Linked DNA regions of Sus scrofa. The protein of the gene in region 1 purifies or fractionates together with the protein of each later gene. This does not show direct contact. Links are inferred from orthologs where the notes say so. Each region holds a gene or a part of one and is shown in the gene's direction. Other genes may lie near its edges.

Region 1 (4,189 bases):
CTGGATCCTTAACCCACCGAGGGAGGCCATGGACCCATATCCTCATGGACACCATGTTGGGTTCTTAACCCATTGAGCCACAACAGGAACTCCAGTCCAACTATTCTAAATATAGTAGTTTGCATCTACTACATCCAAGCTCCCAGTCCATCCTTCTCCCTCGGCAACTACCAGTCTGTTCTTGTCCGTGGGTCTGTTTTGTATATAGGTTCACTTGTGCCATATTTTAGGTTCCACATGTGTTATTACGTGGTATTTGTCTTTCTCTTTCTTAGTATGATCATCTCTAGTTACATCTCTGTTGCAGCAAGTGGCATTATTTTGTTCTTCATTATGGCTGAGTAGTATTCCACTGTATATATGTACCACATCTTCTTAATCCACTTATCTGTTGATAGACACTTAGGTTGTTTCCAAGTCTTGGCTATTGTGAATAGTGCTGCAGTGAACATTGGGGTGCATGTATAAATGGATCCATTTTATTTCCTACCACATCTGAGTACTTAAAATGCCTGGCATTCAACCAACAATAGTTGTGACAGTCCTGCTATATTTCAGGTACTGTGTCAGCCTCTTAGAAACAACAATAACCAGAACAACTGTGGTTCCTGCCATCATGGAATTTACAGTCTAGCGGAGAACCCAGCCATCAGAAAAGTTTTTTCACCTATCAGCATCCGCGCCTTCTTCCTTGGACCTTTCAAAGGGTACTCCGAGAAACACTTGTCAAGAATCACGTGGGAGCAGCCATGGAAAACGCTCTCTTCAGCGGACCCCAGGAAGATGCGTTTTGAGAAGCGGGGTAATTCTCGCTCGCAACAGCGTTTGCAAGACTACGATCCCAAGGCCCCCCCTTCCCGCTCCGGTCTCAAAAGAGTCGATTGGTTTAAAGTTTCTGAGTTGATTGGTTTAAAAAATTACTGAGTTGATTGGATTAAAACTCCCACTGCATCACGGGAAATGTAGTTTCGGCTCTCCTTTCCCCCAACCCCAAGAGAGCTTTACGAAAGGAGCCGAGCGGGCCCGGAAATAGCCGAGTACTTCCTGGCGCGCCCTTTCCTGCCCGGTTGCATTCTGGGAAAGGACAGTTTCCGTTAAAAGCTGGAGGCTGAGGCGCGCGACCAGCCGCTGTCCCACGTGAAACGTTGCGGGAGCATCGTCCAGCGGGGTCGCTCCCCGCTTGCGCGGAGCGTCCCGGAAGCAGCGGGGAACCGGAAGTGGGCCCCGCGGGCTCAGAAGCTGATCCGAAGCCAGGTGTGAGGAGCCTCGGAGCGCAGCTACGGCAACATGTCCCTGATCTGCTCTAGTGAGTATCGCCTGTGGCCGATCGCTGGGCGCAGGAGGCCACAGAGCCGAGTGGGAGGATCTGCGGGCCTCTGCGGCGCCGGGGCGGGGGTGGAGGTGAAAACGCGGCTCCCGGGGGGGCAGGGCGGCGGCCTGTCAGCCCCGGGGGTCCTCCTCCTCAAGCGTGGGGTGCATTTGCGCAACGCTTCACAGTTTACATAACGCCTCAAGTGTATTGTCGCAGGCAGCGCCGAGGCCACCCACCTTGTTTGCGCAGTTGAACAGAGGCCTGGATAGAGGGAGCTGGTGCAGGGGAAACAGCTCTGCTGTAGAAATTAGGAAATGCGAGGGCTCGTGCAGGATCCGCCTCAGATTGGCTTTGTGATGTGGCGCAAGGATGCGGGCCTCAGTTTCCCCATCTGCAAAATGAGGGCCTTGGCACTGGATGTTGTCTGAGGCCCTGCTCGGGTAGGCAGAGCTTCTGCAATTTGCAAAGGTCGGACAGTGAGTTACAGGCTGTGACAGGGCTGGGAGCCAGGGACCTGGCTTCCAGCCTCACCCTTTACGGACTGCTGAAAACAGCGCACTTTTATAAAGCCTCTGTTGATTTACAGCTCGTTTGCAAGACTGTGATCTTGTTATGTTCTCATTTCTCCAGAGCAGAAATAAAGATCCTGTTTTACAGATAAGGATGTAAGGCTGAAGCAGAATGTGGCTTTTGTAAAACAGTACAGCTAGTAAGTGGTAGAGCTGGGTGATGGAGTCAGGTTCTCCCTGACCATGAATCTGTGCTTTTTTCAAATGCCTTGACCTGTCTTTCCTTTCGGTATTTTATTGTGATATTTTGTACTCATTGTTATTGGGTTATTAGTCTCTCATCCTTTTCTTTCTTTGCTTCCTAACTCTCAGGCCCTTTACTCCTCTCAGAACCTTTCCATAAATCCAAAAGAAAAAAAAAGGAAAGAAAGGGGGAAGGGAAATGTGACTAGATAAAGGAAAGGTACACCTTAAAGAAATTATAGTGTGCCAAGTATTTTCACATTCATTGTTTCAATCTTAAGGAAGCCCTTAAGGAAGCTCCATCCTTCCTCTCTTTGGCTCATCTCTTAGATGTTTACTGAGCGCCTGCTGGGCATCTGCCTTGTCCTGGAAGTCGGAAGCCAGCTATAATCTCTATCCTCAAGGGTGTAAATGATACCTCAGTTGGGGGTTGTTGTGGGGATGATTTAAGCAATGGGAAGTGTTTACAGGCTGTGCTTGGCACCTAGTAAACACCACGTAAATGCTTTCTCTTATTATAGCACTTGTCACATCTCTTTGAGAATCCATCTAGGCTTTAGCCTGAGGTTTAAGTGAGGTTTGTGTGTGTCTCCCTGTTCTGCAGTGTAATGGGTACCTAAGCATCTTTGTTCAGAAATGAGACGGGCAGAGATTATTGACTGCTCTCTAGGTACCTAGCATTTAGTCGTTGTGTAGTAACTATTTGTTGATTATTTGACTGTCAGGAGGCTGATGGAGCAGCTAGTTAGAAGGCTGGAAAGCGTTCTGGGTACAGACCAGAACTGGCTCTTGGTGTTCTGGTTGATTCTCATCGGTTGAGTGTAGGCCTCTGGAGGCTGGTAGTAGGTGAAGCATCCCTTTGGCCCAAGGTCCCTTCCCACAGCCCAGGCTCACTGCCTGCCTTTTCTCCACAGTCTCCAATGAAGTGCCAGAGCACCCATGCGTGTCCCCTGTCTCTAATCATGTCTACGAGCGCCGGCTCATTGAGAAGTATATTGCAGAGAATGGCACAGATCCCATCAACAACCAGCCTCTGTCCGAGGAGCAGCTCATTGACATCAAAGGTGCCTGCTGACTGGCCACAGTCCAGGGCCATCTTAGCTCAGAGCCTGGGGCGGGGGAGGAGGTGGTGGTCTGTGAACGCAGGCTGAAGGGGAAGCATGGGGGAGGGGCAGGCTGGCCGGCCACGGGTTTTCACACCCACTTGCCCTCTCTTGACAGTTGCTCACCCAATCCGGCCCAAGCCTCCCTCAGCCACCAGCATCCCAGCCATTCTGAAAGCCTTGCAGGATGAGTGGGTGAGTCCCTGGAAGAGAGTCGGTATCTTCCCCGCCTGATGGACTGGGCGTCGGGGTGGGAGGGCTGGAGCCTTGTGTTCTGTTTCGAGCTAGGGAGGGAGCAGAGGAGAGCCTGCTTGTTGACGTCACACAGATCTGGGTTCCACATGTTGCTCCCTTGCACACTTGCCTTGGGGTTGCTCGTATCACATCTGAGCCCTGATTTTCTTGACCATGTGACAGGATTGGTGCCTGTCTCTCTGGGTTTTGGGAGAATTGGGATAAGAGAGTATAAACTTCCTGATGTCAGGGACTCGTGTGACTCCTGCTAGAGCCCCATCATCGAGGGCAGTGCCTGGCACATAGTAGGTGCCTTGCAATATGAAGAATGAATAAGTCTTGAGCAGTCTGGCGCCATGCCTGACACAACGAGGGCGGTCACTAAATCGCAGAAGTGGCGTTGTCACTGCCTTTGGGGAGGTAACAGCATGATGTCCGAGAATTGCGGTGATTAGTGCAGATGGGATGGGAAAGAGCTGGCTCCCACTCCTGTCTGTGTGCCCAGTCTGGGCATGGGTGGGAGCTCAGGAGTGTCTGCCCGTGCCCTCAAGGTTGCTTGGATGCTACTTGGGTCACTGATCCTGGCCCAGGCCGTGAGGTAGGAGGCAGCGTCCTCTTATCCAGCGCTGACTCTTATGCAGGCGTTCATGCTGCTCCCCACCCCTCACTGTGGTGTCTCGTCCCCAGGACGCAGTCATGCTCCACAGCTTCACCCTGCGCCAGCAGCTGCAGACCACCCGCCAAGAGCTGTCCCACGCGCTGTACCAGCATGATGCTGCCTGCCGTGT
Region 2 (4,210 bases), on another chromosome or scaffold:
CCAGACATCTCCCCATTTGGTCACTTCTGAGGGAACTCCAATCCTGAGGGAACAGTTAGTAATTGGGAATTGAGTGTTTATAAAATGGGGATAGAAGGTGTAACTGGTGGATCCTGGCCATCCCTCTGTGAGGAGACTTTTGCTTTGCTACAGGGATGGGGGTCTTATTTTATCCCTGCAATCTGAAGCTGCTTCCTTTTCTTAAGTCTTTTATTTTGCTTTTGTAAAGTATTACAAATTCTGGACATGTTTGTAAAGTAATTGCTCAAGATTTGTATAAAATGTTGTTTACAGATCTTTTAATAAACAAAAAATTCCGTGGATCTCTTGGGAGAATCTTAAATGGCTTAAGTTGTAGATTTTTTACTTCAGTTAAATCTATATAGCTAGCACACTTAATTAATGGTAGGTTAAAAGATAATCCTAGGTTCAAGCTTAATAACCGTGGCCGACATTTCCAGGCTCTTGGCAAAGTCTGGGTCGATATTTGCACACCGGACACGGTATAGAGTCCTACCTACCTTATTTAGTCTTCCCCTGCTTAATCAAAGGGAGCTGGAAATAGGTACTGGCAGTATCACGAGTGTTAGGATGCAATGAGAAAGATTGTCCTGTTACCAGAAGCCCTAAAAGCAAAATGATTGGATTTTATACACGTCCTGAAGGCAAAAATCAGTTTTTTAAAAGATGAGGTTAGTGGGCAGTTACCAATCTCGCCCCGGGGGAAGATCAGGTTCCTTTTGTTAGGCACACTCCAGACTCCAAAGCTTCGCAGTTTTCACTGGAGTCTAACGCCCACTTCTAGAGTCTGCGAGAGCTGCACTTATTCCACTTATTCGGTGCAAAGATTCTCAAGGGACGGAGAACAATAGTGCAGATAGAGCAAGGAAGTGAAAAGGGAGAGTAGTTTAACCGAAGACTGGAAGGTTAGGGGAATAAAGCCGAGGTGGGAAACCAGGATCCTTCTCTTCGCTAAATCTTGCAGCGAGTTCCCTCAAAAGTTTTATTAAAGGGTTTCCCCTCCCTCAAAAGTTTTATTAAAGGGTTTCCCCTCCCAGATATCAGCGAGCCGGAGGAAACCAAAAGTCCCAACTCTTCCACTTGGCTGCCAATCGGAGGCAAAAAAGCGCAGCAGGTGGGGACAGGAAATTGAGACGTTCCTGCAGACTCCGGAGCCACACAACATGACGTCACGTCCGACCAAAACAAGAAGGCTGGACAATTTCTAGTTAGCACGCCCTCGGAATTAACTGAGCATGCGCCAAAAGCTATTACGCAAGCGACGTGCTTAGGACAGTGTCGGCGCTGACGATAGACGTGATTACATGTTCGACGTGATTACGTAGGTGTCGGACGTCGGCAACGTGATTATGTTAATATCGGGTGCAGGCCTATTTAAGCGAGCCTGAGCCCGCGCAGACTCAGAGAAGTCAGGCGAGCCCAAGAATGGCGGGCACCGGTTTGGTGGCTGGAGAGGTTGTTGTAGACGCGCTGCCGTATTTTGACCAGGGTTATGAAGCGCCTGGTGTGCGGGAAGCGGTAAGTTCCGGGTGTCTGTGTGACTGACTCAGCGCTCGCGGACACTTCGGGCTGGAAGACTGACCTAACGATGTGCTCCTCTTATTTTGGCCTCTGTTCTCTTTCTTAGGCCGCGGCGTTGGTAGAGGAGGAAACTCGCAGGTACCGACCTACCAAGAACTACTTGAGCTACCTGACAGCCCCAGATTATTCCGCTTTTGAAGTGAGTGTGATATTTTGAGTCCACGTTATAAACCAGGATCCTGTGAATCTTTGTTTTGGATTGAGAGCCTTAGCCACACAAAAGTGAATTTCAGATTCCAGCTTTAACTGTTACTTGCCTAGCCACAGCTTACTCATTGGTATAGGTAGTGTCAGTCAATTGAAAATAGCTGCATGGATAAACTGTCTCCCGGGTTCTTATTCTTAGAGCCACAGAAGGACTTTCTAGGGCTTCGCGAACTGATCTAACAATGCAAAAACGAATGTTAACGTTTTTCCGAGGTAGGTTCACTGCGTAAATTCTCAAAGGGATCCTTTTCTCTTTAAGGTCTACTGCAAAACAAGTGATCTAGGGTTTTTTAAATACACAAAAGCCTAGTTACCTAAGCTTCTGAGAACCACTGGAGGGCGGTCTTTGAACCAAAGTTTAAGTATTTTCTGAATCTGTGAGAATGACTGAAGAGACAAACCGTATCTAAGTAATGCACCCTTTAAATATTTAGAAGTGCATCTGTAATACTATTTAGGGTCTAATCAGCTAAATGAAATGTAAAATATTTCTAAATTAATGGATTCTGTTAGGCATTTTAGTATATACATGTTCCGTTTTTCCCCATATCTGGTAACCATTTATTTACAAAAGAAATCTCTTATAAAAAGCAGTATTTCTATTGAAGTAACATGAAAAAAATATATCGGTTAAGTTTTAAGTAGGAGAGAGATGTTCCTATGGCATCCTGTTTTCCCATGCTTTTTCTAAATGTCACCCAAATGTAGATGTTACAGTATTAAGAACTATGCACAGGAGTTCTTGTCCTGGCTCACGTGGTTAACGAACCTGACTAGTATCCATGAGGGCTTGGGTTCGATCCCTGGCCATGCTCTGTGGGTTAAGGATCCAGTGTTGCCGTAAGCTGTGATGTAGGTCACAGAGGCCACTGGGTCTGCGTTGCTGTGGCATAGGCTGGCAGCTACAGCTCTGATTCAACCCCTAGCCTGGGAACTTCAGCATGCCAAGGCTGTGGCCCTAAAATGACAAAAAAACAAAACAAAAAAAAAACTAGGTACAGTAATAATAAGTCCTTATTAGCCTGATTTCTGAAAATTTCAGATAACTTCATTCAATCACAAACTTTTAAACACTTGAACAGGTTTTCTTTTTTGGTCTCTTGAGTAGAACCTATACTTCTATCTTTATAATTAGTATAGTGATTCTTAATAGTAGGAGCTAATAGTGTACTGAGCTCACTATCTCAGTCCTAAAAGCAGTCCTGTGAATTGTAAACTGTATGTTTTTTATACCAGTTTTTTGGATAGGAAAAGTGCAGCTTACTAACTTCCCCATGATCTTCAAACTGCCTTTGAAGCTGCTCTTTCATTAATTCATTTAACAACTATTTCTGACATTCTTTTTAAGTTATTGGGGAACAGGAGTTTACATTCTAGAGTGTAGAGACGGATCAGAAATTATTAGATTATTGGTAAAGCTACATGGAGAATTAAAGTAATGATGTGATACAGAGTGACTGGGTGACTACTTTAGATAGGATGGTTGAGGAAGGCCTATGTAATCTGAGATGATACTCCATGAGCAGGGATCCTTTTTGTCTTCTTCACTGTATTTTCATCCCTTAGGACAGTGTCTGGCACACAATAGGCACCCAAATATTTGTCAGTTGAATGTATGAAGAGCTCCTAAGGCATTCTGATTTAACGAATGCTTACCATGTGCCATTCATGCCTGGACTTCTTATATGACAGCCCTGTGAGTGTTGGCTCAGTCTTTGGAGAGAGTTGAGTTAAAATTCCAGATCTCTCACTTATTGGCCATGTGAGTTAGGTAAGGGCTTCTATGTTACGTGGCTCAAGGTTGTGTGTGCTGTATTTTTGTAGTTTCTCTCACCTCATTAGTAGTGTTTACTCTTTATCTGTCACTGTGCATAGCCTTCTAGCTAGAATGCCTTAGTGTCTGCAGGAAACAAAATAACCACATTTTCTTAGAGGTGTGTGCAGCTCAGCAGTATTCCAAAAAAAAAAAAAAAAAAAAAAAAAAAAAGGCTTTCTCCAACAAGACATACTTAATGCAGAACTTTTAAACAAGGAATGTGGGCTTCTGGAAGTCCTTTTTAGCTTACTCTTTAGTCTAAACGGAATAGAATGTTGACCAAAACATTGGCCTGAAGAGGTAGAGCTATACCACATTTTTTTTTTAATAGTAAAATTGTTGGAGCAAACAGCAGAACCAGTTCCTTTTGTCCCTTCTTCTAGTCTCCATTCTTTTTTTTCTTTTTAGGTCCTGCACCCACAGCATATGGAAGTTCCCAGGCTAGGGGTCGAATCAGAGCTACAGCTGCCGGCCTACACCACAGCCACAGCAATGCGAGATCCAAGCTACATCTGCGACCTACACCACAGCTTACGGCAACACTGGATCCTTAACCCACTGAGCAAGGCCAGGGATCTACCAGCA
Region 3 (4,202 bases), on another chromosome or scaffold:
GATGTATACGAGGACAGTATTTTGGCTTCCTGTGAGGTGTTTGGTATTTAGGAAGTTTAAACTACTACCCCCCAAAAAAGAGTAAAAGGCAAGCCATATAGTATGCTCACACTCAGAATATATAAAGAAATCTTAAAAGGAATAAGAAAAAAGAAAACCCACTAAGAAAAAAAATGGGAGAAAGACTTGAATGGGCACTTTGTAAAAAAATATCAGAATGGACAATATGCTTAACTATTATTAGAAAAAAGCAAATGAAAGCAATAGTGCACTGGTACTCACCAGAATTGCTAAAATTATGAAGACTGACAGTGCAAATGAGGTTAATGTTGGCAAGTGATGGAAACCCTTACACACCACTACAGTGTGGAAATGATTCCAGCCTCTTGGAAGTTATCATCAGGCAGTACCTATCAATAATACCACACACTTTGTCTCCTTAGTTTCACTCCTGGAAAAGTTCAGGCACAGGTGCATGCGATCCACGTACAACAAAATTCATAGCAGCATTATGCAGACTAGCCCCAAGCTGGAAACAAACCTAATGTCCATCGACAGCGAAATGGATTGTTATGGTGTAAGAGACGCAATAGAATTCTATACAGCAGCAAGTAAGCAAATCATTGCTGCCTGCAACCTGGATGGATTTTAGGCATGACACAGAGCCAAAGAAACCAGATACAAAAACAGATTGCATCATTCTCTTTATATAAAAGTAAGCAAAACTAATCTATGGTGACGGATTCGTAGTTCCCTTTGGGGAATGAAGGAGTCTCCGAATTTCAGGACCCCAGCAGCAGCCACCCAAATGTGCTCACTCTGTGGGCATTTGTCATGTTGCAGACTTTAGATCTGCACACTTCCTGTGTTATCAGGCTTCAGCATGAATATCTAATTGTCTAGAGAGGGCAGGCCTGACTGCAAACTAGACCAGTGCGGAAGACCCAGGCTTGGTCTTCATGGTGTCACCCGGATGCCAAAGCCCGGGACCCATCACTGAATCCCATGGGCGGAGTGAAAGCAGTCACTGCCTCCCTTTCACCTCTAGGTGTCCTGACGCACGCGAAAGTTCCACTCGTGGGCTTTCACTCTTTATTAACTTGCGGACACAAATATCTGGACTCGGGGGCACTGCAGGCCGAAGCTGCACAAGAGGAACGAACTCAGAACCAGATGCGCCGCGGAGAGCGCGGGAGCTAAAGCCCAAAAGCTGTGCCCGAGCCCGGGGGCGGGGCCGATCACGGAGGAAATGGCTCCTCGATTGATTAGGCCTGGGAGCCGCGCTGTTAGCACACGCCGGAAGCGATTGATGCTGCCTGGCGGCGGGCGCGGGGTACGCCGGGACGTCGGTGCGGCGGGAGGAGCGGGAGACACTGCAGGCGGGAGGCGACAGGATGGTGAAGCTGACGGCGGAGCTGATCGAGCAGGCGGCGCAATACACCAACGCCGTGCGGGACCGCGAGCTGGACTTGCGAGGTGAGTCGGGCGGGGGCGGGCGGCCCGGCCTCCCCGCCCGCTCGGCGGCCTGCGCCCGCCGCGTGCGCGAAGGGCGGGAACGTGGCCTGGGGCGTGCGTCCCGGTTCCTACCCCGGCTGAGTCCCGCTGTCGTCGGCGAAACGCCGACCCTGGACTCCTTCGAGGCTCTCCTTAGCCCAGCCCCCACCGCCCGGGACCGCCTCGATGCTTGGGTCAGACCGCGGGGCCGGTGCCGGGCCTGCCGAGTGACCTGAGCCGTTGGGGGGCGGGGAAGTACACGCCTGCGGGGTGGGCTGAGCCGTTGGGGTGCTGAGCCGTGTTTGTGATCCTCGTGCGGACCGAGATACGGTAAAGTGAAGTCATGAGAATATAGGTTGGGTATGGGACGGAGGAAGTGAAGTCCGGAGCAAAAGCGATTTTTTTTCCCGGCTTTTCCTCCTCCTTAGCTTCAAGGATCTATTTCCCTTTTGCCAAAACCTTTCAAAGAGCAGACTGTTTCAGCCACGCTAGGGCTGCCGGATGTCTTGCGTCTATAAGGGAGGCGGAAGTCCTCCAGACTATTAGATTCCTGTGGCAACTCGTCTGCATAGTAGGAGAGGCTTTAGAAAGGGTGTGAAGGACGACTTCTCCGGGGTTAAGTGTTGGCTTGAGATCCACCCCCACGGGGGAGAACACCGTCTCAGGAGCAGCACTGCTGCGGGCCCTGCTTTCTGCTTGCTTTTTTGTTTGCTGACATAGTACTTTCGTTTTGTTGAAATTAAATATCATAGGTTCGACTCAAGAGTAACCCACCGCTTTCATACTCTTGGCACAGGCTGATGTCTGCCTGAGTTTGAAGTGCATCCGGTGTTGAGAATGCTCGTTTTGGTACAGCACTTAACTTTGAGCCTTTAGAGCTCTGAAATGTGTACTTATTTAACCTTGCCTAGGTTAACTTCTTTTCTTCTCCTAGCACCTAAGACAATAATTATGCCCCTAGAAGACAAATCAGTGAGCGTTTGAGTGAGTTGTTCACAAGGTGATTTACCATTGTGTACAAATTGACCTTCAACTCTGGGTTGGGCCTCTGGGAGGTGAGAGAAGTGGGAACTGTCATGATACGAAGATATCCAAATGAGTTCTGGGAATCTGACCTGTGGAAATGCAAAAAAGGTTGGGAGCTATTACTGTCCACAATACGTGGACAAGGCTTGGACACTGACAGTAGGCAGCTCACAGTGTAAAGTCCTGTTAGGCCACTTCATTAGCTTTGGGGCCTTGCTTAGAACAATACAAGGCACCTTGTAAGTATACTTGGAAATGTTAGCTACCTATTAGTATTACTGTTAGCGAGTATTCTCATCTTTATTGCCCTTGTAATCAACCAGTGCTTTGGCAGTGTTTGGCACAGCATAGGTGCTAGATAAACAACTTTCTGATTGAATGAAAGCTTTGAGTCCAATTACCATGAAATGCTGCTAATGTTTCCTTGTGTGTTTTTTCCCTCCTTTCTCCAGGGTACAAAATTCCTGTCATTGAAAATCTAGGTGCTACCTTAGACCAATTTGATGCCATTGATTTTTCTGACAATGAAATCAGGAAACTAGATGGTTTTCCTTTGCTGAGAAGACTGAAAACATTGTTAGTGAACAACAATAGAATATGGTAAGTGTCTACTAGTGGAAAGTAATTTTTGTTCCCCTAGAGTAAATGTAGCAGAGTTCCATAAAGAAGTTGCAGTATTGCCAGTTACACCTACGTATTTCTTAAATGGAAAATGAACTACACTTTTCCCATACAGATCCAGAGATGAATTTGGTATTGGTCTGGTCTTACTTGCATCTATTCAGAAATCTTGTATTATTTATGTATTCATGGTACATTTCTAATTTAAGTTAAAAACCTACTGCTTTGGGGAGTTCCCATTATGGCTCAGCAGGTTAAGAACCCAGCTAGTATCCATGAGGATCTGGGTTCAATCCCTGGCTTTGCCTGGTGGTTTTAGAATCTGGCATTGCCATAAGCTGCGGCATAGGTAGCAGATGTGGCTCGGATCTGGCATTTCTGTGGCTGTAGTGTAGGCCGGCAGCTTTGGCTTTCATTTGACCCCTAGCCTGGGAACCTCCATATGCTGTGGGTGCAGCCTTAAAAAGACACACAGACACACACACACACACACACAATAGAAGTGCTGGGTAGTGAGTTGCTTTTTTTTAAATGCCCATTATTTCTCGTGAGTTAACTATTCCACTGTGGTTTGCTTACTGGCTTATCTTGTGCCTGAGCTCTGACTGCAGAATCACTTATGTTTTTGGGCTTCACACAGGTCCTGAGATGAACTAAGTAGTCTGTTTTACACAGGAATTTCTTGTCTTTGGTTTCGTTAAGATAGTGTGGCAGTAGGAAGGGCCCTGGACATCTTTCAGGAGATGTGGGTTTTAAAGTCATCCTACTTCTGTCACCTGTGTGACCTCAGACAGTTCTTTTTGTGCCTTATTTTCCTGTCAGGGTCTTGGAAGAAAGATCTCTTAAGTTTCTTCCCACTCTGAAGCCCTCTGAGCAAGGGCTCAGATAAAATTTTTAGCTGACTTAATTTGCATGTTTACTAAGAGTCCTTCTGTTTTTATTTCAGCCGTATAGGTGAGGGACTTGATCAGGCTCTGCCCTGTCTGACAGAACTCATTCTCACCAACAATAGTCTTGTGGAATTGGTAAGTTGAACAGGGGAAGAATGTATTTGGGGGGAG
Region 4 (4,196 bases), on another chromosome or scaffold:
CTAAATGCTGCATGACTGTGGAAAAGGATCAAATACATGAACTGTATGAATGAACTTATCCCGTAGATTCATCTCTTAGACTAAGGGTGTCATGTGTTCCTGAAAATCCTTAAAAATATGTTCAGTGAATTTTAAAGGTAGTAATAATACTAACAACATTTTCTGAGTAAACTCATACACTTTGCTTTAAAGTGGTAGTATACCAATAAAAATTAGTAATAGTTACTCTGCTAAATGAAGCAGAACAGTAGAAATAAAATAAGCTACTAATTTGGCTTGTTGGTATTTAAAAAATTTATTGAATCTAAAAGTTCTGGAGCGAATCCAAATTTGTGCCTTCTCTCTCCACCCTGTACAGTTTACAACTGGAATTCATGTTAAACGTTAATTTTAATTTTCGAGCATAATGTATTAAAATGTCATTAATAAATGGAAACTACGCGGTCTAAGTATGGAATCCTTCATGTCTCCACCTCCATCACCTAACAAAAAAAACCCAACAACCAGGAAAAGTGAAGGCAGATTCTGGCTCAAGGTGTTACAGGATCGCTAAGCTCCAACAGCACGGAAAACAAAATCCACAAGTCCCCTATTTCGGCTTCAATTGAGTTTAGCAAGCACCAAAGGCCGGGGGCAAAAACTGTTAACAAGAAACTGAGAAAGCAAGTCTGGCCATTGGGCACGCTCACCGCCAGGCAACAAACTCCCACAAACCCATCAACTCGCAACTCTGGCGCTGCAGTTAACTTTCCGAGAGCAGCATAAGTAGGCCCGGAAGAGCCCAAAGGCACCTCCGCGGAGCTGCTTTATCAGCTGCTTCTAAAGTCGCTAGGCGGATGATTCACCGCCTCTCGCGAGGGCAACGAACTACAAACAGACGGGGCATCCGGAACAGGCCAGCGAGCCTCAGCCCAACGCGGGGGGGCGGGCGGGGAATGCGCGCGGCCCCAAAGGCAGCAGACCTACCCTTTCTCTCCAGAGACCGGGAAACTCATCGGGCTCGCCTATTTCACCCCAAATGACCCCGGTCCCTTTGCTCGGCAAGGCTGGGCGGAAAACTACCCCCAATGCGGCGAACCCATTGTTCATTACCTGATGTTCCGCGGAGGCCCCTGCGCAGGAGCCGGGACTCCGGTCGCTGTCGCCGATTTTGGACGGCATCCCGAGACCACCTTTCTCAAGGTTCTCTGGCCTGTCCGAGCTGCCACAAACATCTTACCGAAGCCGGTGCGCCTCTGGGACCAGGCAGACGGCACCGCCCTCCTTCCCGGGGCCCGACCTTCCCGGCGCCGGCGCCTTCCAGCCAATCGGCGGGCCCCCTGAGCCGCCAGACACGCCCCTTCTCCCTCCCAGATTGCGCAGAGCTGACGCACATTCCCACTGCCGCAGGGCGTCCTGTAAACGCGCTCGTCATCCTTCCTGCCAATCAGAGGGGGCGTAGGGCCATCGGTACCCACCTCTTTCCGCCGGCCACTCTCTAGTTCCTGCCGCGCGCTTGGGCGCCTTACGTAAGGTCCACGGTGACCGCTCACCCCCCTTCCCGCGCTGGAACTCTTCCCCGGATTCGTCAACCGCCGCGGTTCTCTTGGGTGCTGTTTCCGGTCGTGAGGCTCGCCACATGAGCGCAGCCCGGGGGCGGGAGGAAGCCCGAAATTCTAGGTGTTAGTTATGTAACTATCCAAACCGGTGAGTGCTGGGTCGGACCTGCCATCCCTGCTGGCCGTCAGTCTTGTTGTTAATGATTGTCTAATACAGTACCTGCCGTGCTTACCCAGTGAGGTTGGTGTGAGGGCAGTGTAAGGCCATGTCGTTAGGAAAGAGACTCGGGGGCGTTTGCTTTCTGCCTGTGTAGGCAACATTTTAATTGGTGTTCGTATGTGATAATGCTTTGTGCAGTTGAAATCCGTTGCTAGAAAGCATATTAAGCATTTTCCAGTACAACACAGGAGGTTCTTGTCCATTGAGGTGGTTCTGAGCTGCATCGAAATAATCCAATATCAGATTACTTTCGAATACCCAGTCCCTGCTCTTCTTGTCTTGAACTTTAAATATTGCCTCAAACATATTGCTTTAAAACACGTTTTAAAAAGTTTTATTGAAGTATAGTTGATTTACATTAAAACACATCTTAACCGTATTACTCCCCCACTCAATACCCCAGTGGTTACCAGTTGTCTACAAAATACAGGCATTGCACTAGGACATCCTACTGACTCCTATTGCAAACTACTGGTATTGTTAACTAGAAGGCCTGTTAACATTTTCAGTGCAAGACATGATGTACTTGTGTACTTAATATAAGGCTTTTTTTTTTTTGGACTTTTTAGGAATATGGAAATTTCCAGGCTCGAGGTTGAATCAGAGCTGCAGCTGTTGGCCTCCGCCACAGCTACAGCAACCCACTGAGCAGGGCCAGAATCAAACTCATATCTTCATGGATACTAGTCGGATTCATTACCGCAGAGCCACAACGGGAACGCCAAGGCCTTCTTTTGTTAAATCCAAAATTTTCTCACTGAACTCTTCCCAGACACAAGAAAATATCTATTGAATTGAGTCACCCAATTGAATAGTTTACCAATTAAAACTTATAAGGCAAATAAAGGAATTTTTGTAATAGATGACAGTGTAGAGTACTCATTTGACTTCTCAGCAAAGGAAAGAATAATATAAACTTAAAGGTGATAATAAACTCTGGTTGAGTTTTAGTAGATGACAGTGCTTCCACAAATGGGGGCTAAAAATCTGTCTCTACAATAGGAGAAGATTGGTAGTAAATTGAAACTCAGCAGAGACCTGTGGGAAGCAGTATGTTAGAGTCCAAACCAGTTATGCTGCCAAAAATATATTTGATACAACACCACCTATTAAGTATTCTTGACAAAATAATTGAATCTGAATCTGGTCAAGCTTTTATGTTACACCAGTTTAAACAAGGAATAGAACATATTAAATGGTACCAAGAGGATACAACCTGCCAAATACAGAATATGGAAAATTCTGTGGGACAAATGACCTAATTTCATCAACAAATGTCAAGTAAAGGAGAACTGGGGGTGAGGAGACTGCTGAACTTTCCAAGATTTAAGAGGCATTATTTGGGTTTTGTTTTGAACAAACTATATATAAAAAGACATGCAGTGAGTTCCAGTTGTGGTGCAGCAGAAACAAATCTGACTAGTATCCATGAGGATGCATGTTCAATCCCTGGCCTCAATCAGTGGGTTGAGGTTCTGGTGTTACCATGAACTGTGGTGTAGGTTGCAGACACAGCTCAGATCCCAAGTTGCTGTGGTTGTGGCATAGGCCAGCAGCTGAAGCTCTGATTTGACCCCCAGCTTGGGAACTTCCATATGCCCTAAAAAAAAAAAAAAAAAAAAAAAAAAAAAAGGCATATACAAAACTGAGAAATTCAGCTAAAATATCTACTTTAATAAAAATCGATACTGAAGATTTTACGGGTACAAATGAGGTTTGTGATTTGCTTTTAAATAATCTAGTGGGGGTGGAGGAATAGAGTGTATGAAACAAAATTGATCATTTGTTGATAATTATTGAAATGGGTGTGGGTAATTGGGAGTTTATGGTAGTGTTATATCTAATTTTTGTGGATGTAAGCATACACATACATTTACTTTCTGCCTTTCATGTGATTGTTCCAAGTGAGATTTTCATTATTAATGTCCATTAGAATTATACTTTTTTTGACCTTTTGCTTACTTCAGAATCCTGCATATAGATTGAACAGAACCAGAAAGGCTTCAGGTAAATAGAGATGGCTATGACTTTGTGTTACAGTTTTTAATCAACCTTCCAGTGAAAACAAATATGGAGGAGTTCCCGCTGTGAAATGGGATTGGTGGCATTTCTGCAACACCAGGACTTAGGATGTCTGGCCTAGCACAGTGGGTTAAAGGATCTGGCATTGCCATAGCTATACAGTCACAACTGCTGCTCAGATCTGATCCCTGGCCCGGGAACTCCAAATGCCAGCAGAGTGGCCAAAAAACAAAACAAAGAACCAAAACCAGATTGAGGATGAATTTTAATGACAGAATAAGACCTTTAAACATCATTTATGTTTTTTTCCCTGAAATAAAGGAAGCTTTCAAAATTAACATAATCTCATTTCTGGCACCTTCTTTTTTTTTTTCTGTCTTTTTGCCTTTTCTAGGGCTGCTTCCCGCAGCATATGG
Region 5 (4,458 bases), on another chromosome or scaffold:
CTGTCCTTGGTCCTAAGGCTCTCTGTACTTCTGCCCTTGGTGATTTCATCCAATATTATAGTTTTAAATACATACAAATACTCATAATTCACAATAGTATATCTCCAACCCAGACTCTCCTCTGGGCTCAAAGCCTGTATTTCCAGCTGCCCGCTTGACAGCTCCACTGGAATGTCTCAAAGGCATTTCAGATTTACCATGTTCAAAGCTGAATTTTCAGCCCCCACCCCCCCAAACACAAAATAATGACTCTATCCACACAATTATTCAAGCCTGGGAGTCATCCTTAAACTATCCCTCTTCCTTACCCCTCCTTCCCCCATATCCAGTCTAATACTGAGTCCTGAGATTCTGCTTCCAAAAGCTGTCTTAAGTGCGTCTGCCTCTCTCCATCTCCACCACCACTATCATCTCAGCCAAACCACCATCATCTCTCACTTGATTAATTACAGTAGCCTCCCAACTCTCTCTAATTTCACTCTTGCTCTCCTTCAGTCCATTCTCCATGGAGTAGTAGTCACAGTGAACTTTTTAAAATATAAATTGAATGGCACCCTCCTGCTCTAATACTTCAAAGACTTCTAATTACTCTTAAGGAAAAAAATCTCTTTATATTTGAACTACAACCTGGTTATCTTTGGTCTACAAAGATAGACCATTTGACTGTCATTTGACTGCTTATCTCTCCAGCTTTGACGGTGACATTCTTCTCCCATCTTTTTTCGTCCCTCTAGGAAAAGCCCATTCCTACCTTGAGATTTCACATTTCTCTCCTCTTCCCCCATTGTTCACCTGATTAACTCCTCCTCATCCTTTGTTAGTCAAACATCACCTCTGATGTCTTCCTTGAACTACAATTTAAACTAGGTTTTGAGAGTTCCCATAGTGGCTCAGCAGGAACAAACCTGACTAGTAACCATGAAGACAAGGGTTTAGTCCCTGGCCTCACTCAGTGGGTTGGGGATCTGGCATTGCCATGAGCTGTGGTATAAGTTGCAGAAACAGTTCAACATTGCTGTGGCTGTGGCATAGGCGGGCAGCTGTAGCTGCAATTTAACTCCTAGACTGGGAACTTCCATATGCAGTGGGTGCGGCCCTAAAAAGCAATAAACAAACAAACAAACTAGGTTTCCTTGGAGTTCCCTGGTAGTGCAATGGGTTAAAGATCCAGAGTTGTTACTGCTCATTGTTCTGGGGTACATTCCATCCTGGTCCGCATGCTGCACGTGCTGCCAATATAAATAAATTAAAATAAACTAGGTTTCCTTGCTTTTCCCTCTTCCCTCATAGTTTTACTACAGTTGGTAAATATAAACTTTTTTTTACAGCTGAATTGAGACACATTGACTAGTTTATGAGATTATTTGCTGTTTCCTAGAGGGCAGAGTCCAGGAGGTTAGACTTTTTTTTTTTTTTTTTTTTTTTTTGTCTTTTTAGGGCCGCACCTGTGGTTAGGGGTCGAATGGGAGGTGCAGCTGCCCGCCACAGCCACGTGGGATCCGGGCCACGTCTGCCACCTACACTGCAGCTCAGGGCAACTCCAGATCTTTACCCACTAAGCCGGGCCAGGGATGGAACCCGCATCGTCATGAATACTAGTTGGTTTCTTAACTCTACCATTCTCCACCCCGTAAGGTGTAGTTTTCGGCCCACCCACCTCTATGCTCCTGGCAATTGAGCATCATGCAACACCCCTGACAATCACAGACCAAATAAAGAAAAGGATTGTGACATGAACTCTAAAGGTGACTGCGTTTGCGTCCCAAGGCCAGAATATGACGCTGGTAGGTTCATAGCTCCATTCAAGTCGGCGAAGTGCACCACTCCCCTCCCCCGCCCAGACCTGGGGGCTCTCACACCCATCGCCAGGAAGCTCAAGCTCGCCCCTCCACTCTGGACCTTCCGTACAGCATGGCAGCCCCCAAAGGCGTCACCCATAGTAGTGGCTTCCGTACAACATGGCTGCCTACAGGGAGCTCACCGCACCCCCTCCCGCCAGGCCACCGGAAGTTTCCATTTGAAACCGAGGCGGCGGACTCTGTCGGCGCTACGGCAGTTGCTGCCCGGCATCTTTTGAACTCGAGTGACGAGGCCTGCGGGCAGGAGCAGCAGGCGCCTAGGTTCGGCTCTCCTGGGTCTGGAGACTGGCTGGGTGTAGGAGGCCCATGGGATGGACTGGGAATTGAAGAATTTTCTCTATTCCACGTCGTGCTCTCCTGGGGCCCTCCGTCAGCTTGGGTTCCCTGGGCCAGCCCTGGGTAACATTCAGCTTGTGCCTTCCAGGCCCCAGTCGTGCTGCCTCGTTACGATGACCAGCGTGGTTAAGACAGTGTACACCCTGCAGCCCACTTCTGTGCTGAGCAGCTGTCTGGCCGCAGGTGGGTGCCTATGCCGTCCCCACCCCCGCCCCCAGGGCGCTGCCTGGGGTGGTCAGGCCAGGGAGTACGAGGAATCAAATTGGCAGCTGAGAATGGAGGGTGTCGGCAGGGAAGGGCATTCTGTCGGCTCTGAGAGCCCACTAACTCCCTTAGAACCGGACTGTCTAGACTTATGGGAGTTAGGGAAAGAGCCAGATGGTGGGACTTTGTAGATTCGCCCTATATCCGGATTCCCCCAAGCTGAGCATTCACCAATTAGATTTAAGTTGATGATTATTTTATAGTGTTATCCCATTAAGCTAGGAATCCCTTTTTAAACATTTGCCAGTTTTATTTCCAGACTTGGGGTATCTGGAGGTACTGGGTTTGTTGTGACTGAGGGGAAAAGAGAGTCATTTGAAAGACAGGATACTTATTAGGGAGAAGCAGTCGGTTCACATGGTATCTGGTTCACATTTGTAACTGTACAGTGTGTCTCACATAGAACATAATAAACATTTTTTTGGGTGAAGTGAGAGAGAAGGGACAGGCCTAGCTAGTATTTGGGAACCTTGGAAGAAGAGACATGGTTAAAAGCAATGTTTGATTGCTTTGCCATCAGGCTTTGTGTTCTTTGGTTTGTGGTTGCAAGTCATCGCCTAGAGCCTGCAGGTGTGGAGCTGCCTAATCTAGAGATTGTAGCCCAGAACAGGCTTCAAACATCAGCACCTTTGGTGGGAGATTTTGAAGCAGCTGGTTAAGATCCCTTCCCAGTGACTCCACGCAGTTGATTGATGAGCACTAGCAGGATTGACCTGTGAAGTAATAGGCTTTTCTCCAAAAGCCTAAAGTGCTGTGGGAGTTCCTGTCATGGCGCAGTGGAAACAAATCAGACTAGGAACCATGAGGTTGCAGGTTCAATCCCAGGCCTCAATCAATGAATGAATTAAGGATCTGCCGTTGCCATGAGCTGTGGTATAGGTGGCAGATATGCCCCCAAGCCTGCGTTTCTGTGGCTATGGCACAGGCTGGCAGCTGTAGCTCGGATTAGACCGCTAGCCTGGCAACTTCCATATTCTGCGGGTGCAGCCCTAAAAAAGAAAAAAAAAAAAAGGCCAAAGTGTTCTCTTTGCACCTGGTGTCAGCAGGGCTTAGGTGTTGCTGGGGGAAACTGGATCTGCTTTTATGCTGCCTTTCCCTTAAGGGAACAGTGTCTCCCATTCAGTGGGGCATGACTGGCTCTCCCCAGCCAAATTGGAAGTTTTCATCTCTTTGATTTCTCTCCTTGTCCCAGCTTTGTGATCCTGTGTAGCCTCAATAGTTTAGCATTTTTAGGCTGCCTCCCAGGTTTTTTAATTTTGATTTTAGGCATGAGTTGGCTGGTTTTTAGCTTTTGAATCGGTAATATATGCACATGTAAAAACAAAAAAAAATTCCGAAATTAGGAAATGATAGCAAAAAACAAGTCTTCCCTTGACATAGCCAATTAGTTCCTTCTTTAGCGTCTCTCTTTTTTTTTTTTTTTTTTTTCCCATTTAGGGCTACACCCTGGGCATATGGAAGTTCCCGGGCTAGGGTTCAAATTGGAGCTGTAGCTGCCAGCCTGTGCTGCAGCTTGTGGCAACACCGGATTCTTAACCCACTGAGCGCGGCCAGGGATTGAACCTGCATTCTCATGGGTACTACTTGGGTTCATAACCCTCTGAGCCACAACGGGAACTCCTCCTTCTTTTATTTTTTGAATTTATTTTTTATTTTTATTTTTTGGCTGTGCCTGAGGCATGTGTAAGTTCCTGGGTGGGGATTGAACCCTCATCACAGCAGCGACTCAAGCTGCTACAGTGGCAGTGCTGGATCCTTAACCTGCTGTGCCACAAGGGAACTCTGCAATAGAATTCCTTTTTTTTTTTTTTTTGTCTTTTTGCCATTTCTGGGGCTGCTCCCTCAGTATATGGAGGTTCCCAGGCTAGGAGTCGAATCAAATCAGCGCTGTAGCCGCCAGCCTACTCCAGAGCCACGGCAACGCAGGATCAAAGCCTCGTCTGCGACCTACACCACGGTTCACAGCAATGCCGAATCCTTAACCCACTGAGCAAGGTCA
Region 6 (3,373 bases), on another chromosome or scaffold:
GCGGACAGCGCTCCGTCTCCTGGACCCCCAGGGCTGTCTGCTGCAGGCCAGCCTTTGGGCTGAAGCAGGTGGTGGGAGGGAGTGCGGAGCTCGAGGCGGAAGAGGCCTTCCGTGTGCCGGGCGGGGGCGTGTGCCTAGTGTAGCTCGGACTTTGCTGGGAGAAAGGGAAGGTGCACAGGTTCGTAAGGCCTCCCTGGCCTTCTTTTTAAATTCCAACAAGATAGGCCTTTGGCTTTACAGCTCCCAAGCTTGGCGTGAGTCCTCGTGTCCCCCTTTCAAGGCCTCCACGAGGTCTCTTTGGGGTCCGCCACTTCCTCTGCCTGTCTCCAGGTGGTGCAGGAGGTGTGGCCCCTCTCCTTCCCGTGGCTCCCTAGAGGCCCCGGTTCCCCTTCCCTGTAGCTTTAGCTGACCTCGTGGTGGTGGGTGTGGGGTCTGTGCGCGTGCTCAGGTAAGCTTGGGGGCTCCAGGTAAGCGGTCCCGTGTCCCCCCCCCCCCGGGAAGCCCGCCTCCTCGCCAGGCCCCCAGGAGTTGCCGAGCCCCCCCCATCCCGCTCGGTTTGGACACCCGCAAGGCCGGCATCGGTAAATGGCACCTTTTTCTCTTCCTCTGGTTGTTATTTGGGGGGGCGAGGGCTGGGGCGGGGCAGGGTATTGTGGTTGGTTGAGGACAGCCCCCTAGCCAGGGCCGGGGGTGGGCAACAGGGACTCTTCTGGCCTTCCCAACCGCCCCCCAAGAGATAGGCCAGGGAGGGGGCCTCTGCCCACAGCTCCCCTCTGCTCCTCCGCCTCCCGGGAGGCTCAGGCTGGGGCCGGCCTCCCAGGGCCCGTTGCGCTGGAGGTGTTGCGGGAGCAATGGGATGGGGCCGGGGCTGGGCGCAGGCCTTTCAGGTAAGGCAGGACATTTGCAGTAGCACCACACGTCTCCCACATCTCCCTCCACTGCCCCTCAGCCCCACCTGCTGTAGGGGCCCCTCCAGGCCCCCTGGGAGCCCCATAGCCCGCCTTTCTGCTCCCTTCCTCCATCTCCTAAAGATCTCCCTCCCCCTCTGGTTCATTTTCTGTTCTGATGTCTGTTCCCCCCACACTCACCCTCCCCGGAAAAAAAAAAAAAAACCCACAGAAAAAGGAAACCGTTGTGAACTGGGGTGCAGAGGGGCCCAGTTGGGCCTGCTCCCCCAGCATGATGTTTTAGGGTGCATGCCTGGGGTTGTGGGGGAGCCCTCCCCCGCAGCAGAGTCCAGCCTTAAGTTAACCTCTGGTTTCTTTGCAGCGACTTTGGCCACCTTGGCAGGGGGGGCTGCTCTGTCGAATGGGAGTGGGGACTTGGGACGGCCTGGGAGCCGGGGGGCGGGGGGGGGGGGGCGTGGTCTGCCCCCCAGTGGCGACTGGGGGTGATGAGCAGCTGCCGATGGAGCAGTCCCCTCCTTGTTTGGGAAGGGATGGGTCTGGCTGGCAGTTGCCTGGCTGTCTGGTGGGTGTGGGGGTGTGTGTGTGGTGTGTGTGCACGTGTGCGAGTGTGTTGATGGGGACCCGGGGGGCGGGGATGCCGCAGGGCTGGGCCTCAGCCTGACTAGAGGACCCTCTGGGGACTCCTCCCCTCCCCCTCCCCGCGTCTGTTGCAGCCGCTTACAAGCACGCAGACGGCAAGAAGATTGACGGCAGGAGAGTCCTCGTGGACGTGGAGAGGGGCCGAACTGTGAAGGGCTGGCGGCCCCGGCGGCTAGGTGAGCACGTCCTGCTGAGGCTGGGCTTGGGGTCCTGCCCTTGGGGGCTCCTTTCTTAGCTCTTTTCTGCACCTCCTGCCGCGCTCTGTCCTCTCTTTCTCTCCTGGCTGCGCCCATCCTTTCTTCCTCGCGCCGGCTCGTCCTTTGTTCTCAGCGTCATTCTTCTGGTCTGTCTGCTTGTTCTGGGTTACCCAGTAGGAGCAGGAGGACTGACCTAGAGAAAGAAGCCAGTTAGGATCGAATTCTGGCTTTCGAGCTTCGTGGCTGGTGGATTTCCACTCTTCATCCCTCCTTTTCCCTCGTCCTGGAAAGTGGGGCTAACCTCAGGTCCCTGAGCTCAACCGTCAGATACCCAGCTGGGCACGTGGCATTTGTTGGGTCTTGGAGTCACTCTCATCTGTTTATGCTTTCCTCCTCTCTGTTGTTCGATCATTCATTCACTGGTTTAGCAAACGCCTCTTTGGTCACCAGCTGTGTACCAGGCTCCTAGTCAAGAGCAGGACATACACAGATGGCGTCTCTGTCCTCAAAGCCTTCTCCGTCCAGTTCCCTCACTGTCTGTCTCTAATTATCGGTCACCGTCTCAGTCAAGATCAATTGGATAACACGTATGAGAAATTTGTGCTTCCTTGGGCGTTCTCTTGTGGCACAATGGGTTAAGGCTCTGGTGGTGTCACTGCTGTGCCACAGGTTCAGTCCCTGGCTCTGGAACTTGCATGTGCCATAGTCACGTCCTCCCCCAAAAAAGACATTTGTGCTTCCTAAGGTATAAAGGGGCTTTGTTGATAGAGAATCTTAGTGTCTTTTGGAGCCTAGAGGCATGTGATGCCTGTGACCGTCCTCTGACGGCCTCGTGGCCAGACCTTAACTGTCAGGAACCACCTGTGGCAGCTTGCTTCCACGCTGTTCACTCTTTCTGTAAACCAGACTCTTTGGTACCTACACTGGTCCAGTGTGCTGTTTCAAACTCCCTGCTTCGGAGTTCCTGTTGTGGCTGGGCACTAACGAACACCACTGGTATCCATGAGGACACAGGTTGGATCCCTGGCCTCACTCAGTGGGTTGGGGATCCAGCATTTCTGTAAGCTGTGGTGTAGGTCACAGACACAGCTCTGATCTGGCGTTGCTGTGGCTGTGGTGGAGGCCGGCAGCTGCAGCTCTATTACAACCCCTGGCCTGGGAACTTCATATGCTGCAGGTTTGGCCCCAAAAAACAAACAAACAAAAAAAACAACCAAAAAAACAAGTGCCTGCTTTGCACCCAGCCCTGGGTGAGTCTGTGTTTCCAGGTGGGTGAATCAAAATGGCTCAACATTGGGCTGAGGTCCTGCCATCCAGACATGGCTGTTGAGGACGAGCTCCTGTGAGCGGGAGAAGCTGTTGTCAGAGAAAACCATCTTCCTGGGTGGACGTCCCAGGAGGGTCCCTTATGGTCCGTCCTTTGTCCTCCCAGGCCACTGTTCTCGCTTTCGACCTGTGTGCTGAGTAGACCGCACTCTCCTCTGCCGAGTCTCTGAGCCTGGTAGACGGGCTCTTAGCTCACTGTCTGGTTTCTCTGGTTGGAGGAAGTCCTTCCGAGGCTGCTGTCTCCCATCGTGGTAGACCCCTGGAGTCCCAGAATCTCCTAGTTTGATTGGCCTTCAGACTTGG
Region 7 (3,664 bases), on another chromosome or scaffold:
TTTATTCAACACATATTTGCCAAGGGCTTATTTGCCAGGCACTGTGGTTATAATCCTTACTTTCATGCCTAAGACTTAAGCTCTTTGTGCCCACAGGCCCCTAAAATATCATAAGAAATGCAGGATTTGATTCAGTAAGCTAAATGATGTTTGTTTTCCCGTAGAACATACAACCTCCTCCTCGGTGTCAAAGAAGCCTCGGTTAGACCAGATTCCTGCCGCCAACCTCGACGCAGATGACCCTCTAACAGATGTACGTTTTACTCCCTCCTCTCATCTCTGTGTAGTGATTTACTTATCTTTTTTTTTTTTTTTTTTTTTTTAAATACTGTTGTATTTAGTCTTCTGGCTTTAAGAAGTGATTTGTATTTATTTTGACTTCCTGTTGCTCAATTACAGCCCTGACTTCAGTGCTAAATTTTAGCGTTTATTTTAAAACAAAAAGCCTTCTCTTACGGTTAATCAGACTTTAAATTCGATCCCTGGAGAACCAGTGAAGGAGGAGATCTATTAAAAGATATGCTTCCCTAAAAAATAGCTCCCTGTATTAAACCGGGGAAACTGGACTAGTTATACCCCTCCAGAGGGCACTCCTCAGACTGGGCTCTGTATCAGTAACATCCCCTACAGTGAACGTGGGGGCCTTTCCACACTTGCCACCAGTGATGCCCTTTCCGGATGTTCATGCACTCAGTGGCTCGATCTGTGCCTAGGGAGGTATGTGATCTAACTGGAAGGTTTCTAAGTTTTGGTACTTTAACATTAAAATTTAGTGGGTCCTCAGGGCATATAATTAATTTGCAGTTTTCTACATGCAGAGGAAAAATCTGAGTGCCTTTTCTAGGGTAGCATCTAATTAAGCATATATAAGTAATTCTAGAGCAGACAGACTGAATTAAAAATTAACTCAGTAATTAAATATAAAGAACTCAGTTTTAAGTGAGATTTAATGATTGTTCGTCTGAAATTTTTTTCTCTGAGAATTTAGTACCCTCTTTTGGTACTTTTGATTATCCTTACTTCCTAGTTATTCTGAGCTATATAAAATTATTTTAATTCCCAGGATCACAATATATAGTGTACCTCAGTATACAGTGTTCCTTTTCAGGTTTTAGAAATATTTTCAGGGAGTTCCCATTGTGGCATAGCAGAAACGAATCTGACCAGCATCCATGAAGATGCTGGTTAGATCGCTGGCCTTGCTCAGTGGGTTGGGGATCCGGAGTTGCCATGAGCTGGAGTGTAGGTTGAAGACATGGCTCTCTGATTCAACCCCTAGCCTAGTAAGTTCCATGTGCCATGGTGCAGCCCTAAAAAGCAAAAAAAGAAAAGAAAAAAAAAAGTTTTCATATGTAAATATTTGTTTGACCATGTAAATTTGAAAAGTACTTCATTATACTATTTACTGTTATAATGTCTAAAATAGTCAGAGTATTGACATTTTAGTAAGCAATCATAAGCTTTTTGTGGTGTTTTATTTTTTGGTTGGTTACTGCTTCTAATCATATTTACGTACATTTATTTTTCCAACTAGGAAAATTCTGCTCCAAAGATTTGATAAGTGTCATTTTTATGGAAAAAAAAGAATAATGTCTCTTTTGTCTCTAATCTCCTGGGCCATCACCATTCTTTTTTAGGAGGAGGATGAAGATGAAGATTTTGAAGAGGAAAGTGATGATGATGATACCGCAGCTCTTCTTGCAGAGCTGGAAAAAATCAAGAAAGAGCGAGCTGAAGAGCAGGCCAGGAAGGTAAAACCAACGTGTTAAATATTTATATCTTCTTACATTAGCTAAAGTAGAATGTTTTTTAATGTAAGTGGTATCACCTTATACTGGAACTCATCCTTGCTATGTCTAGATATTATAGCACCTGGAGGTCTATAAATCTGGTAATTTCTGTGACATCCTCAGTCTCCCACTTATATGGGAAATTCTAACTAGTTTAGACCCTTTAATAATAAAACTCATCACATTGCTCTTCATTCACTTATTTGTTCAACAGACATTTGGTCAGTGTCTGTTAAGTGTCAGAAGAATCAAAGATCGTGAAGATGCAGTCGTGGCCTACAGAGAGCCCACAGGTATAAAGAGGCCATCTTTATCTCTCTGCTTCTCGTCTGCCCCAGGCCTCTTTCCAGGCACCTTGCTGAGGCCGCCTATCAGTGGATTTTCTATAACCCAGCTTTTCTGAGTCCCCACAGCCTCTGTGTTTACGTAATGGAAGGAAAGAATGTCTGACTCAAAGACAATTAGAAGGATTAAATGAGATCCGTGGTATGTACCTTTAAACTTTGGACGAACAAACCATCACAGTAACAATAAGAGAGAAAACTTGGATGGCAAGAGCAAGTCAGAGCACCAGAGGTTTGTAGGGCAGCTCTAAAGAGGTTTGAGCTCTGTTCGGAATGATTCGCAGAACTAGTCCATTTCAGCAGGAGACAGTAAGGTTGGGTTGCATTTTAGAAAGATTACTTTGCCAGTGGGGAGAGTGGAAGAAAGAACTGATTAGGAAGCCGTTCCAGTAATCCTCAGGTGCAGTTAGGAGAATCTTGCATGACACGAGTTGGATTTGAGAGAAGTAAACAGATGCTGATAGAGCTGTCAAGGAGGAAGAATTGGCCAGAGAAGGTAACTGATTAGAGGTGGCAGTTTCTGGGTCAGTGTTGGTGCCATACCCTAATTCAGGAATGCAGAAGGATGGGCATGTTTCCGAGGAGAGAAATATGATGAGTTTGTTTGGAACACACTGAATTTAACAGAATTGTGTGTGAGGCACTTGAGCTTTTTTACGGACTTCTGTGGAAGATTTCGTTTGAACCAAGAATGGTTCTATTTAAAAAATTACAAAAAATAAAATGTAAATTTTAAAAATATATTTAAAAATATTAAAAAATATATTTAAAATCATCAAAATTTGGATAGCATAACTCCTGTAGAATTGTAAGGCCATTCCTAATACCACTTGCACACCACAAGAGGGCAGTTGCTCTATTCCAAATCCTGCTGGCCTTCTTCACAGCTGTGGATATACAAAGAGTCATTTAAATGTGTTTTGTTGATCTTTAAGGAGCATAAACATTTCAGACAGGGGATCTTGGCACTTTTGCAAGGTTCATCTGATTTCTTTGTACAAAGATGAGTTGGTGTTTTTTGGAATTGAATAACAGTTTTAATTTTCTTGTCTCTGTTTCCCTGTCTGGCTTTCTAGTGGCTGGTTTTTGAGGTGTTTCAAAATGTTCTCAAACTTGTCAACCTGTGTCAGGGGTTGGGAAACTTTCTGTAAAAGGCCAGATAGTAAGTATTTCAGGCTTGCAGGTCATATAGCTTCCATCTGCTAATTATGGTATAAGCAATCGTAGGCAGTACCTAAATAAATGAATGTGACTGTGTTCCAATAAAATTTCATTAACAAAACAAGATGGTTCGGGTTTGACCAAATGGCAGACTGTCCATCCTTTATGGCTGTGGTCAGGAAACAGTGTACCTGGTACTTGAATATGGAAAGAGTTGGCACCTTTTTTCCCCCAGTGCTGTGTGTGGCAATCAACCAGTAACTCTAAAGGAAATAATGTAAAATCGGCAGGACCTTATTCCCTCACATATGTTATTATATTATGAATTTGGATATGTTGTATGCTTGAGCACTGATAGTTCTACCTTCT

What was found.
Region 2: the proteins of PRPF19 (region 1) and BCAS2 purify together in Homo sapiens (co-immunoprecipitation; 10 studies listed by BioGRID and IntAct, counting the BioPlex papers as one, with this or other methods). This does not show direct contact. The link is inferred for Sus scrofa from reciprocal best matches to the Homo sapiens genes PRPF19 and BCAS2.
Region 3: the proteins of PRPF19 (region 1) and SNRPA1 fractionate together in Homo sapiens (co-fractionation; 3 studies listed by BioGRID). This does not show direct contact. The link is inferred for Sus scrofa from reciprocal best matches to the Homo sapiens genes PRPF19 and SNRPA1.
Region 4: the proteins of PRPF19 (region 1) and SF3B1 purify together in Homo sapiens (co-immunoprecipitation; 4 studies listed by BioGRID and IntAct, with this or other methods). This does not show direct contact. The link is inferred for Sus scrofa from reciprocal best matches to the Homo sapiens genes PRPF19 and SF3B1.
Region 5: the proteins of PRPF19 (region 1) and KNSTRN purify together in Homo sapiens (affinity purification with mass spectrometry; 4 studies listed by BioGRID and IntAct, counting the BioPlex papers as one, with this or other methods). This does not show direct contact. The link is inferred for Sus scrofa from reciprocal best matches to the Homo sapiens genes PRPF19 and KNSTRN.
Region 6: the proteins of PRPF19 (region 1) and SNRNP70 fractionate together in Homo sapiens (co-fractionation; 3 studies listed by BioGRID, with this or other methods). This does not show direct contact. The link is inferred for Sus scrofa from reciprocal best matches to the Homo sapiens genes PRPF19 and SNRNP70.
Region 7: the proteins of PRPF19 (region 1) and CWC15 purify together in Homo sapiens (co-immunoprecipitation; 4 studies listed by BioGRID and IntAct, with this or other methods). This does not show direct contact. The link is inferred for Sus scrofa from reciprocal best matches to the Homo sapiens genes PRPF19 and CWC15.

The regions. Positions count from the first base shown.
Region 1 is NC_010444.4:10,850,508-10,854,696, forward strand, and holds the start of PRPF19 (pre-mRNA-processing factor 19), read left to right. Parts: upstream 1-1,271; 5' UTR 1,272-1,287; coding exon 1,288-1,306; intron 1,307-2,978; coding exon 2,979-3,128; intron 3,129-3,285; coding exon 3,286-3,362; intron 3,363-4,088; coding exon 4,089-4,189. UniProt on the Homo sapiens protein: Ubiquitin-protein ligase which is a core component of several complexes mainly involved pre-mRNA splicing and DNA repair. Required for pre-mRNA splicing as component of the spliceosome.
Region 2 is NC_010446.5:105,991,205-105,995,414, forward strand, and holds the start of BCAS2 (pre-mRNA-splicing factor SPF27), read left to right. Parts: upstream 1-1,353; 5' UTR 1,354-1,446; coding exon 1,447-1,539; intron 1,540-1,648; coding exon 1,649-1,741; intron 1,742-4,210. UniProt on the Homo sapiens protein: Required for pre-mRNA splicing as component of the activated spliceosome. Component of the PRP19-CDC5L complex that forms an integral part of the spliceosome and is required for activating pre-mRNA splicing.
Region 3 is NC_010443.5:145,706,077-145,710,278, forward strand, and holds the start of SNRPA1 (U2 small nuclear ribonucleoprotein A'), read left to right. Parts: upstream 1-1,316; 5' UTR 1,317-1,394; coding exon 1,395-1,476; intron 1,477-2,972; coding exon 2,973-3,120; intron 3,121-4,087; coding exon 4,088-4,166; intron 4,167-4,202. UniProt on the Homo sapiens protein: Involved in pre-mRNA splicing as component of the spliceosome. Associated with sn-RNP U2, where it contributes to the binding of stem loop IV of U2 snRNA.
Region 4 is NC_010457.5:101,335,207-101,339,402, reverse strand, and holds the start of SF3B1 (splicing factor 3B subunit 1), read left to right. Parts: upstream 1-1,384; 5' UTR 1,385-1,686; intron 1,687-4,196. Other genes in the region: COQ10B (coenzyme Q-binding protein COQ10 homolog B, mitochondrial), read right to left, coding at 1,093-1,214. UniProt on the Homo sapiens protein: Component of the 17S U2 SnRNP complex of the spliceosome, a large ribonucleoprotein complex that removes introns from transcribed pre-mRNAs.
Region 5 is NC_010443.5:130,927,271-130,931,728, reverse strand, and holds the start of KNSTRN (small kinetochore-associated protein), read left to right. Parts: upstream 1-1,556; 5' UTR 1,557-1,911; coding exon 1,912-2,120; intron 2,121-2,283; coding exon 2,284-2,378; intron 2,379-4,458. UniProt on the Homo sapiens protein: Essential component of the mitotic spindle required for faithful chromosome segregation and progression into anaphase.
Region 6 is NC_010448.4:54,298,348-54,301,720, forward strand, and holds part of SNRNP70 (U1 small nuclear ribonucleoprotein 70 kDa), read left to right. Parts: intron 1-1,621; coding exon 1,622-1,727; intron 1,728-3,373. UniProt on the Homo sapiens protein: Component of the spliceosomal U1 snRNP, which is essential for recognition of the pre-mRNA 5' splice-site and the subsequent assembly of the spliceosome. SNRNP70 binds to the loop I region of U1-snRNA.
Region 7 is NC_010451.4:27,040,665-27,044,328, reverse strand, and holds part of CWC15 (spliceosome-associated protein CWC15 homolog), read left to right. Parts: intron 1-164; coding exon 165-253; intron 254-1,637; coding exon 1,638-1,751; intron 1,752-3,664. UniProt on the Homo sapiens protein: Involved in pre-mRNA splicing as component of the spliceosome. Component of the PRP19-CDC5L complex that forms an integral part of the spliceosome and is required for activating pre-mRNA splicing.